Linked DNA regions of Mus musculus. The protein of the gene in region 3 purifies or fractionates together with the protein of the main gene of each other region. This does not show direct contact. Links are inferred from orthologs where the notes say so. Each region holds a gene or a part of one and is shown on either strand. Other genes may lie near its edges.

Region 1 (3,747 bases), on a different chromosome or scaffold from region 3:
TGGCTTGATTGCCCACATTGAAAGAATGGTCAAAAGACTTAAAAATAAAAAGAGTGTTAAGGGTAAAACATAACCTCACTTAATTTATAAATGTTACCTAAATACTCTTTTAAACTAAAAATGTTTTCTACATGTAAGCACTCATTTTCCTTAAGTTTTTACAAGGAAAACAAACATAATTTTCATTCCATTAAAGCATTTATTAAGTAATCTAGCTCTTTACCATTCAGTCCCTACAGGTATACTGAGAATGACTCCACACTGCTAACAGAAAAATTCCATTAGTAGCAACGTTTCTCCACCTCTCTCACTGCCTCTGCCATGGTAAGGGTGAACTAAATAACCGAGTGACAAGAGAGTAAAAGTGCAATTACCCAGAAGTAGAAGGATGGAGTACAAATAGGATTCCTGTCTGCTCTCTTTCACTGTAAGCAGCTACTCTCCTAGGAAAAAAGCTAGAAACATGGAAGCCTGAGAAGACTTTTCTAGTTCTGACCCTCCTTTGAGACACATCTTAATACATGATATAGCCTGACCTTGTCAATTTCCAAAGACCCTAACTGAATGGAGACTCGACTCTATTGAATTACTTCTCCCCTTTCAGTTCTGTGGGAGACTGGCCCCAAAACAAAACAAACGTCACCAACAAAACCCTTATACTTGTTTCCTTCTCTGCTTGTGCCCTAAAGCTATCTACATCTTCTACACAACATTTACTGAACCCTGTACTAGAAACTGAATTTTTCTCTGGCTTTAAGAAAAAACAAACAGGGCCAGGCCTGTTGGTGCACACCTCCCAGCACTTGGGAGGCAGAGACAGGTGAATTTCTGAGATCGAGGTGTAAGCCTGGTCTGAGTGAGTTCCAGGACAGCCAGGGCTACACAGAGAAACCCTATCTCAAAACCACCCCCCCCCCCAAAAAAGGAAAAAAGAGGGAAAAACAAAACAACAACAACAAAAAAAAAAAAAAACCAACAACACAGGCAAATAAACCTGTTACATAAACTCGCTCCCAGTTTGTGTGTAAATAACGCCAGGTGGTCAAATGAAGATTTCTAAACCTTTTAACTTGGTACTGCTACATTCAAGGGCTCTGTAAATAGAAGCTAAGTTTTGGCTCTTAAAGCCTAGTTCCAATTGCAGACGAGCACATTACACACCCAATAAACGATCCTCCAGCTTTTTGTCCTTTAGATCTGTGAACATCTTTCTACATTCCTAGCATCTTAAATCATTAAGTTAAAAGGGCAGTCTGGACAAACACAGAGGGTCTGTCTAGCCGGTGACATGTACAAACTGTACTTTGTGTCTGTAATCAGCATATACTGAGCCTAAAACAAAACCAAGCATGGAATAAACATGTTATGCACACTATAGAGATAATGTCCCAACATTAACTTAATTCAAAATGCACCAACGAGGCCTTAAGACTACACGTAGTTATTCCGAATAGATGGACACCCTCATCTGGATCTTATAAAGGCTTTGCAGAAAATACAGGTAAAGAGAAATCAACCAATTTAAAAACTGAGCTTTCAGATCCTAAAATGCAAACGATGGCCGGCTCTTCCTAAAGATTGGCAGCGGCGCAAGTAGTAGAGGCTGAGACTCTCCAAACTGGAAGCATCACGGGCCGCCTCCAAGAGCAGGGACATCCACGATTTTAAACTCGGCGGGCGGGCAGGCATGTCCTGGGCGTCCGGACCCGCCAGCGTGGCCTCTGTGCCCGCCAGGAAGCCCCTTCTGCACATCTGCGACCCGCACTCTGAGCTGAGGCCTAAGCCTGGCAGCCGCCTGGGCTGTGGTCACCACCGGACATTCCAGAGCAGAAGGCGACAGGAGAACTGGGACCCGGAAAACGGGGGCGGGGAAGCTGGGGGCGCAGGGACCCCGAGAGGACGACCCAGACTCGGCCTTACCCTCTCATGGTGAACTTGACCACGGCAAGTCTGGAGCCCGCCCCGCTCAGCTCCGGCTGGAAATCTGGATCGCTCCCGACCGGCTTCACTCCCACCATCCTCACAGAGAGCCCGGCAGGGCGGCCGCGACGCTTCCGGCCTCAAAACTGAAGCACAGAGCCCGAGAGAGGCCGGAGACGGGCTGCAGGAGGCCGGGGCCTGGGCGGGAACGGCGACCACGACGTGTCCTCCCGGAGCTGCGAGTGCCGAGTCACGCCAGGGAGCAGGCGAGCGGAGGGGGAGGAGACGCGGGCTGGGAGGCGAGCGAGAGGGGCAAGGCGCGCAACACCCAGCAGCCACCGCGCGGGCGCTGAGGGAGCCTGGGCCCGCGCGCGTTGGACGTCATTTCCGCCACTTCCTTTTGCGTGCCCACCTGAGGCGCTCACTGCCGGAAGGGCGCAGGCGCAGGCGATGGCTGTCGATTCCTTGGCGCCGCTGTGCTTCTGAAATTGCTCTCCTACTAGCTTCGCTGACCTAAAGTTCTCTTCTGTTCTGTTTTGCTTTGTTTTCACCAAGCGCTGACTTTGAGGAGACCGGGCTAAGGGACCCTCCTTCCCTATGCGGGCGCGTGACGGCACCCTTTACAAAGACTGACGGGCGAGTCACTCGACACGTCATGGGAACATTGCTTTATGGATTTCATTATCTATGGGTGTTCCCCGAGCAGACATCCCAAATAATGTACCCATATGTACCCAAATAATGCCAAAAAGCGACGCCCCCATTTCTTCAGGAATCTGGAGTCTAGTGACACACAAAATTAACAAATACGAAAGTTGGAAGCACAGGAAGTGAGCTTGTGACACAGGGTAAAGGGTGGACGTAACTTCAATCTTGTAGAGTGGGTTTTTTTAAAAAGGAGCAGGAGTTGGAAAGTAAGTGGGCAGGAGATACAGAAGGATCGCAGCAGGAGGGAACTGGGATGGACTTGATCAAAAACACATAGGCATGTATGAAATTCTCAAAAATATATTTGATATAGGATGTAAAAAATGCATGAAAGTCACCCAATAGTTTTTTGAGTAAAGAAAAGTAATTCGATTTTGAAAGAGAAAGGTAGTTGAGCAGTGGTGGCGCATGCCTTTAATCCCAGCACTTGGGAGGCTGAGGCAGGCAGATTTCCGAGTTCGAGGGCAGCCAGGAGTATACAGAGAAACCCTGTCTCGGAAAAAAAAGAGAGAGAGGGAGAGAGAGAGAGAAAGGTATTAGAAATATTCTAGATATGTGCAAGTGAATTCAAAGTGCAGATAATAGGTAATATTTGCTTAGTACATACATCTCACTATGTATATATATCCATATATATTTATGTATATATATCCATATATATTTATGTATATATATCCATATATATTTATGTATATATATCCATATATATTTATATATATTCACGTTAGACACTGTAATGACTTTAATAGAAACTGGCAGAATTTTCCATAATCTCTGCAACTGGTCCTATAGGGATGGGCAAGCCATTAACCTCTCCAAACTTTGTCATTCTTGTCTGGGAAGTGTGTTACTATCTACTTTGCAGAATTGTGAATTATAATGATGTTCAAACCAAATATACAATACCAAGCAAACACTATTTATAAACAGTTGTAAGTTAGTCAGCTAGAGCTGTGTTAACAAAAATGCCACAGGAAAAAGTGGCTTGTACAACAGAAACATCTCATGGGTCAGCAAACTGGAAGTCCAAAAGAGTGGGAAGTGGTGGGTGCTACAGTCCTTCAAGCCGGTGGCGACAGGAACAACACTGGACACCAAGGCGGTTCACGCAATAGCTTC
Region 2 (3,747 bases), about 6.5 Mb from region 3:
GTGTACTTACATATAATAAATAAATAAATCTTTAAAAAAAAAAAAAAAAACCATCATAAACCGATCATTCATTCCCCACCCCAGCTTGGCTTAAGTTCCAACATCTGGAAGAGTGACTACGGTCATGGGACTAGGACTAGGGATCAGGGACCATTCTTCTTCTTTATCTTTGTGCACCCCACTCCCCTGGCCAATACAAAATTATGCTCTCCCCCGCTAAAGGCTTACAGAGGATCGATGCAGTAGCACTTGAGGGCCCCTCTGCAGCCACTGGAGAGGGCCCCCCTCCACTGCCAGCATCTGAAGTTGTATTGCCAGAGCTGCAGGGCTGGACAGGGGCGGCGGCAGGTGAGGCAGGCGTGGTGGAGGGTGCAGAGGCAGAGTCAGGAGTGGATGGAGGAGAAGCAGCAGCAGTCACTGGATCTTGAGCCCTGAGGACAAAGAGTAGGGAAACCTGGCTGGAGTGTGCACAAGTGACAAGGTGGCCTTGGACTGACAGCTCAAGCCACCTCCTAAGCAGCCTTGTTCCACCCTTACCCCAGGCTAGCAGGATGCTGGGGAGAGGGATGGTATCAGTTATCAACAGTCTCTAAGGCAACCTGGGAGTACTGACAGGCTCCCCCAGAGGTAAGACCTTATCCATCTGTGCCAGGCCTGGCTGCTGAACAGGTGAGAAAGAATGGGAGGTGAGGTCACAATCAGGAGCAAGGGCAGCTCCTGTCTGTACTTACTTCTGAGGGGTTTTGATGACTAGGTGGACTGTGAGCCCATCCTTGATGCCGTGCTGGCTCAGGGTGTCCCCATCCTTGAGGATCTTGCCTGCGAAGATCAGGACCAGCTGATCCTGCTGAGCCTTAAACCTCCGGGAGATCTCCTCCTTGAACTGTGGTCAAGAGGCAGAGATCACTGCAGAGGCCAACTGCGCCCCGCTGCAAGACTTGACCCTCAGTTCTGCCCCTCTAGCTACAAGAATCCATTCAATTAGTTCCATGACACAGTATCCCAACCCTGGAAAGCCCCTGCTGCTATCCACAACAGCAGCTTCTGTCCCACCACCCAATTCTCTGAAAGTGATACCTCACAGAGGCATGGGCAGCCCTCCCCATCCTAAATCCTTCAACTAGCCTTGGGCTCAGGCTGTCTCTCTTCAGCCTTCTCTCTGCTTTTCAGTCCCAGCTTCCTCATCACTATAACAGATAATCTAGAGTATTATTGAGATCTATTGAGGAATCTAGTGTGTTAGTTACCATCTCTACTTAATTAAATTAATTAAATTTAATTAATTAATTAATTAATTAAGAGACAGGGTCTCTGCATGTAGCTCTTGCTGTCCTGGAACTTTCTATGTAGACCTCGAACTCAGATAGATCCACCTGCTTCTACCTCCCCAGGGCTGGGAATTTAAAGATAAGGATCAGAGAAGAGGTAATGTATCCGGGGATATAGGAACTCAGGTCTGGACATCAATGTCTTCATCAGACACATTCTCAATAAGAGCTGTTTTATAATTCAGCTTTTCCCAGGGGACTTAAAATTCTCTAATGAGAGAGCAGCAGTGGTACCAACGGCTACACTGGGGCGAGTTAAATTTTCTAGATTCTATCAGCTCCTCCAAAACACAACACAACACAACACATATTCTAACTATAAACAGTGCACTTGCTAAGCAAAAGATCCCTCTCTTCCAACCAGATGGCCTATTCTAAGCCCCGCCTATGTGCAATTCTGGAGCAGCTTCAAGCAGTGGGGAACACAGGCAATACTCCCTCACTCATTCTATATTATTTTGTTGAGCACCTACTGCGCTCAGCAAATCCTGTAGAGCAGAAAACTGAACTACACAACCGTTTCGATTTGCGACAAGGAGGCTCTGTGGAGAGAGAGAGAGAGGGAGAGAGAGAGAGAGAGGGCACCACCACCACGCGACACTCCCGGGAGAGCATAGCCGCAGCTCGCTCGGGCCGCACGGTGCCTTAGCGCCTGGAACCTCTACCAGTGACCCTGGAGCACACTCTCCTCAAGCCTAGGCTCCAAATGGAGCCCGCAAGCAAGGTGTCCCTTCCTCAAGCTCCCCCACCACGCCCCCAGCCCGGGTAGCGCGGCCAAACCGGCCCCTACCCGCGCCACGCTCCCCGGACTAGCCCTGGCAGGGCGCCCCCTACCCGCTTCTCCCGCCTGTATGCCCCTGGATTCCGCCCCGGCCGGGGGCCCGTCCCCGGCGCCAGGCCGACCCCGAGGTCTCCCTCTCTGCTCTGACCCCCTCGGTGCGCTGCTCCCGCCCTCCTGTCTCCTCCCAGCCAGATACTACCTCCTTGACCGAGGCTTGATCGCAGATCACGATCTCCTCCTTGTCCTTGGGGGTCTTGACGGTGACCCGAATCTGGGGCCTCGTCTCAGCCCCACTCGGCTCCGCCATGCCGCCGCCCGGCCGCCCGCCAGCCCGTCCGGCTCCTCCTCCTCCTCCTCCCGGCCCGCCCGGCCCGGCCCGACTCCGGGGCCTCCAACTCCCCCTCCCGCCCCTCCCCAAGGCTCCGCCGCCCACTCCGGACAGCCGCAGCCACAGCGCCCCGGGCGGCCTGGGGGAGCACTGCAGCTGGGGCGGCCCAGGCCCGAGCAGGGTGCGCAGCTGGCCCGGGCCGGACAGCGCGGAGGGCGGGAGATTCAGGGCCGCCTGCGGCTCCCTCCTGTTCGGACAAAGGACTTTCGTTGTCGCCGTCTTATCTCCGTTCCCTGGGGTCACTTGGTTTTCTTGAGAGGCCTGGGTTCGTTCCTGGTTCAGGACGTCCTTAAGACCTCTGCGGATTCGAGCAGTCGTGGCCTCCGGGGAACCGCCCCGAGGGAGCCATTAAGGACGGTTTCAGAGACCTGGAGTTTGCCTACGTGGCTTCTCTGAGCCTTGGGAGTAAAAGAGCAAGACCCCACAGAATTGTGACTAGCGTACAATATTGCTTTAAAAAATGGTCAAGGATGTGCCTAACAGATAGATTTATTATTAGATTGCGATTGACCAGTAGGCACGAAGGCGTCCTTCGCGTGGAAGATGTTAAAAGTATTTCCACCGTTGCCACTGTCCTTGCGCTCCCGCTCTCCCCCCCCCCAACTCCACAACCACATGGTCCCACTGGAACGCTGAACTATGGTTCCCAGAATTCCTTGAGCGATCACATGAAACTACGATTCCCAGAGGCCCTCGCGCGGGGCGGGAATTGGGCCAGAGCCTCAGTAGATGGGCCCGGTGACTACAACTCCCAGGCGCCTCGTAGCTGGGCTCCTGGGCCACCGGAAGCGACTGAGGGAGAGCAAGAGGCTGCGACTGTAGGGGTGTGTTGGTGCAGGTCAGGGTTAAGAGACGCAGGCATGCTGCGTCCCAAGGCTTTGACGCAGGTGCTAAGCCAAGCCAACACTGGAGGAGTCCAGAGCACCCTGTGAGTGAACAAGAACCCAAGCAGCGAGCGCTGGAATGGGGCGGCGCGCGGCTGTCTGCAGTAGGGGTAGGGAAGAGCCCTACGCCGGGAGGTGGCTAATGTTGCAAGCTGCAGCTTCGGAAACCCTGCTTGAGGGCTTCCTCGGAAAGGGAAATGGACAGTTGATTAGCGTGTTCCTGGATTCTTGCTTCCTAAAAGCGCCAGTAGCTGGAATTGGGATAGGAACTCAGACCTTTCACTCTTCCTGAGTTTGTTGATATCCTTCCCATTCTTGCCAGGCTGCTGAATAATGAGGGATCGCTGCTGGCCTACTCCGGTTATG
Region 3 (3,747 bases):
CTGGCCTCAACTCAGAAATCCACCTGCCTCTGCCTCCCGAGTGCTGGGATTAAAGGTGTGTGCCACCATGCCTGGCTTTTTTTTGTTTTTTGTTTTTTTTAAACAGGACCTCAATATGCATTCCAAGTTGGCCTTGAACTCATGATCCTTCTGTCTCAACCATCCAGTGTTCTCAACAGGTGTGTACCACATCTGGCCAGATCAATATTCTTAAATCAGTGTCAGTCTGTACAAAGGTCTGACTCCATCACCCTCAGAATCTTCTCACTGGGGTATAGAACAGAGTTCAAGCTCTTCAGTCATTTCTTTCTACAGTGACTCCTCCCACCTTACAACAATCTATGTTAAGGTTCACTCTGGTCTATTTCCCAAACACGGGACTCTTACTTCAGCAACTTTGTAATGACCTCTCCTCAACATGTCTTTTTACAGCTCTTAAATTCTGAGGATTCCCCAAACACCATGCCGCTACAGAGCTCTATACTTTACAGAGCACCATCACATATGGCTTACCTGCTTGTACTATGAGACACAGAGAAGTTACTACAATTCTCCAACAATATGCAAAATGTAAGTGAGAGCCAGGGAACTGTTTGGATTCTAAATCCATCTTCTATTTTAACATACTCTATCCCAGAAGTGAAAGCAAACTTAGAAAACAAAAATAGGGCTGGTGAGATGGCTCAGTGGGTAAGAGCACCCGACTGCTCTTCCGAAGGTCCAGAGTTCAAATCCCAGCAACCACATGGTGGCTCACAACCATCCGTAACAAGATCTGACTCCCTCTTCTGGTGTGTCTGAAGACAGCTACAGTGTATTTACATATAATAAATAAATAAATCTAAAAAAAAAAAAAAAAATTAAAAAAAAAAAAAACAAAAATATAGGACTTAAAAGTTAAATTTTAATTTCAGATGAATAATGAGTAACTTTCGAGATTTATATTTATTGTTTTTAGGTGTGTGTGCGGGCACCTACAGAGATCAAAGGCACTGATCTTCTGGTCCTGTCAAGAAGGCAGCAGCGAGGGGCGTGGTGGCGCACACCTTTAATCCCAGCGCTCGGGAGGCAGAGGCAGGCGGATTTCTGAGTTCGAGGCCAGCCTGGTCTACAAAGTGAGCTCCAGGACAGCCAGGGCTACACAGAGAAACCCTGTCTCGAAAAACCAAAAAAAAAAAAAAAAAAAAAGAAGGCAGCAGCAAACAACATGGGTGCTTGGAACCAAACTCTGTGCTCTTACCCACCCAACCATCTCACCACCCTCAACAAGTAACTATTTTGTTGTTGTTTTTGTTTTATTTTACCACCTTTTGAGACAGGGCTTCTCTGCATGTCCTAGAACTTGCTCTATAGACCAGGCTGGCCTCAACCCCTAAGAGATCCACCTGCCTCTGCTGCCCAAGTGCTGGGATTAAAGGTGTGTGCCACTACTGCCCGGCCCCAACAAGTAACTTGTAAGAGCAATATTTGGGTTGGACTTAAAATTCCCTTTCATACTAAAAAATCACTCATGATTTGCTTGAAATTCAAATTTAACTGGGCATTCTGGTAGTCTTATTTTGAGACAGAACCTTGCTAGGTAGTCCTGATCATGAAAACTCCCTGTCTCATCCTCCAAGTGCAGGAAACCAAGCTTAAGCCATCCTGCATTTAGGTGGCAGTGCTAGCCAATCTCCAAATGAAAACATGGGCCTAGTGACTCAAGTTTTTAATCCTACATACTCATTCCAAGTTCAAGGCCAACCTGTGCATCTTCTCAAATAGCGACTTCAAAGCCAGTCTGAGCTACAGTGTCAAAGCTCCATCTAAAACAATAATGATGACAAATAATAAATGCAATCCAGGTGTGTGATGAGGCTCATTGGTAGAGCACGTTCCCAGCGTTCACAATGCTCTGGATTCAATTCCCAGAAAACACAAAACAAAGTCCTCTTGTAGCCCTGAAAAAAAATATGTTCTCAGCTTTCTATTTATTTTCTTGTCCTCAGTTTCTAATCTAACTCTTAATAGGTACTCATCCCAAGTATAAACCTGATAAAACCTAGTTCATCCTGCTTATCACGGCCTCTTAATTTGCTGTGTGACTACAGCGGATCCCCTAAAGTCCTTCCGACTCATTATGAGACAAGGACTATTTTCCAAGAATGCGGTTGTGAGGTTTACATGCGATAAAGTACAGAGAAAAGAAAAACTTGGAGGCGAGTGGAGGGGGCAGTTGGCCTCTGCTTTATGGGAGACCTGAAATTCAGGGAAGGGAACAGGAGTTCCCGGGCCTGCGTTCCTGGGCCGGGATGACTCAGGGAGTCGTCTGCCAGAGTCCCGCGGGCCCCGAAGCCACATCTCGCCCGGCGACCCAGTCCCCAGCCCAGGCCCTCGGGTTTCGGCGCCACGCGCACCAACAACCCAGACGCGCCCCCCAGCCACGTCCGAAGCTCCTCACCAAACCATAGTGCTCTCCAACACCATCTTGCCTCCTTCCCTCTGCGGACCGGCTCCGGGACTGACAAACAACAGCACCTCCGATTGGCCTGGTGCTCATCACCAATCAAAGAACTCAGTCTTCATGCTGCCCCGCCTCCGCGCCCCGCGGTGTGTTCTGGGACTTGTAGGCGCCACAGAAATGGAAAGGTTGGTTATCCAATAGAGTTGGCTACCTTCGCAGCAGCTTCCGGAACAGCTGTAAGCTCTCTGCACTCGCCTGGCAGCAACACTCCAGTGTGAGGCAGGAGAGCTGTAATTTACCCCCTCTTCTGCTCTCTTTCTTTTGTATATTTGGGTTTTTGATTTGTTTTTGTTGTTACGGTTTGAAAAAGGATGACAGCAATTCGCTGTGGAGCTCAGGCTAATAAACTCTATTGCTTCACCTCCCAGTGCTGTTTACAAGGGGCACACTCATGCTAAGATCTGAACTGCAATTTCCAGGCCAACGTGGGCAACATAGCTACTACGTAGTGACACTGCCTCGAACACATAACAGACACTCATGAGTGCATACACTACTGTGGATATGTCAGTCCAAGCATAATCACTTAAAAAGTGTGTCAGCATCGTTAACCACATTTTAACTTCCTGTTTCCCATTGCACTGTGTTTATGCAACTGCTACAAACACTTGTATCCTCAAATTCGATTTACCTATCTACTGCCTACCAAAAAAAAAAAAAAAAAAAATCTATGCAATTCCTAACTCCAGTATTGAGTCTGACAGGATGAAGGAATCCAGAAAAGTTTTGACCAATTAAAAAAAAAAAAACAAACCAAAAAAAATTTTTAAGCGTTTGTGTGTGTATTCAGGCCCTGCAGAGGCTGGAAGAGAATATCAAATCCGGAACTGGAGTTCCAGGCAGCTGTGAGCTGCCTGTCTTGAGTTCTGGGAACCGAACTCTGGTCCTCTAGGAAGAGCAGTAAGCGCTCTCTCATAAGCACTGAGTCATTTCCCCAGCCCGCAGTAAACACCATGTAATCACCCAAGGAACGAAGGATAGCCAGCAAGTTATTTTGGTTTGTTAATTAACCTTTAACACCAACCCTTGGGAAGCAGAGGCAGGCATCTGTGGGTTTTAGACCAGCCTGATCTATATAATGAGTTCCAGGGCAGCCAGGGTTATACACAATAAGACCTTTTCTGGGGGTCAAAGAAAAGAAGACCTGTTGGCACTTGCCTGCGATCCCACCTATATAATGGAATGATTACAAATTCATGGTCATCTTGGAAATTTAGTGAGAGAATTCTCAAAAATAAAAAGGG

What was found.
Region 1: the proteins of Psmd4 (region 3) and Txnl1 purify together in Homo sapiens (affinity purification with mass spectrometry; 3 studies listed by BioGRID, with this or other methods). This does not show direct contact. The link is inferred for Mus musculus from reciprocal best matches to the Homo sapiens genes PSMD4 and TXNL1.
Region 2: the proteins of Psmd4 (region 3) and Ubqln4 purify together in Homo sapiens (affinity purification with western blotting; 4 studies listed by BioGRID, with this or other methods). This does not show direct contact. The link is inferred for Mus musculus from reciprocal best matches to the Homo sapiens genes PSMD4 and UBQLN4.

What each region holds. Positions count from the first base shown.
Region 1 is NC_000084.6:63,690,156-63,693,902, forward strand, and holds the start of Txnl1 (thioredoxin-like protein 1), read right to left. Parts: upstream 2,205-3,747; 5' UTR 2,019-2,204; coding exon 1,921-2,018; intron 1-1,920. UniProt on the Homo sapiens protein: Active thioredoxin with a redox potential of about -250 mV.
Region 2 is NC_000069.6:88,552,474-88,556,220, reverse strand, and holds the start of Ubqln4 (ubiquilin-4), read right to left. Parts: upstream 2,506-3,747; 5' UTR 2,417-2,505; coding exon 2,309-2,416; intron 2,283-2,308; exon of another isoform or gene 1,802-2,282; intron 884-1,801; coding exon 732-883; intron 432-731; coding exon 229-431; intron 1-228. Other genes in the region: ragulator complex protein LAMTOR2, read left to right, coding at 3,358-3,425, 3,704-3,747. UniProt on the Homo sapiens protein: Regulator of protein degradation that mediates the proteasomal targeting of misfolded, mislocalized or accumulated proteins.
Region 3 is NC_000069.6:95,040,068-95,043,814, forward strand, and holds the start of Psmd4 (26S proteasome non-ATPase regulatory subunit 4), read right to left. Parts: upstream 2,548-3,747; 5' UTR 2,467-2,547; coding exon 2,441-2,466; intron 1-2,440. UniProt on the Homo sapiens protein: Component of the 26S proteasome, a multiprotein complex involved in the ATP-dependent degradation of ubiquitinated proteins.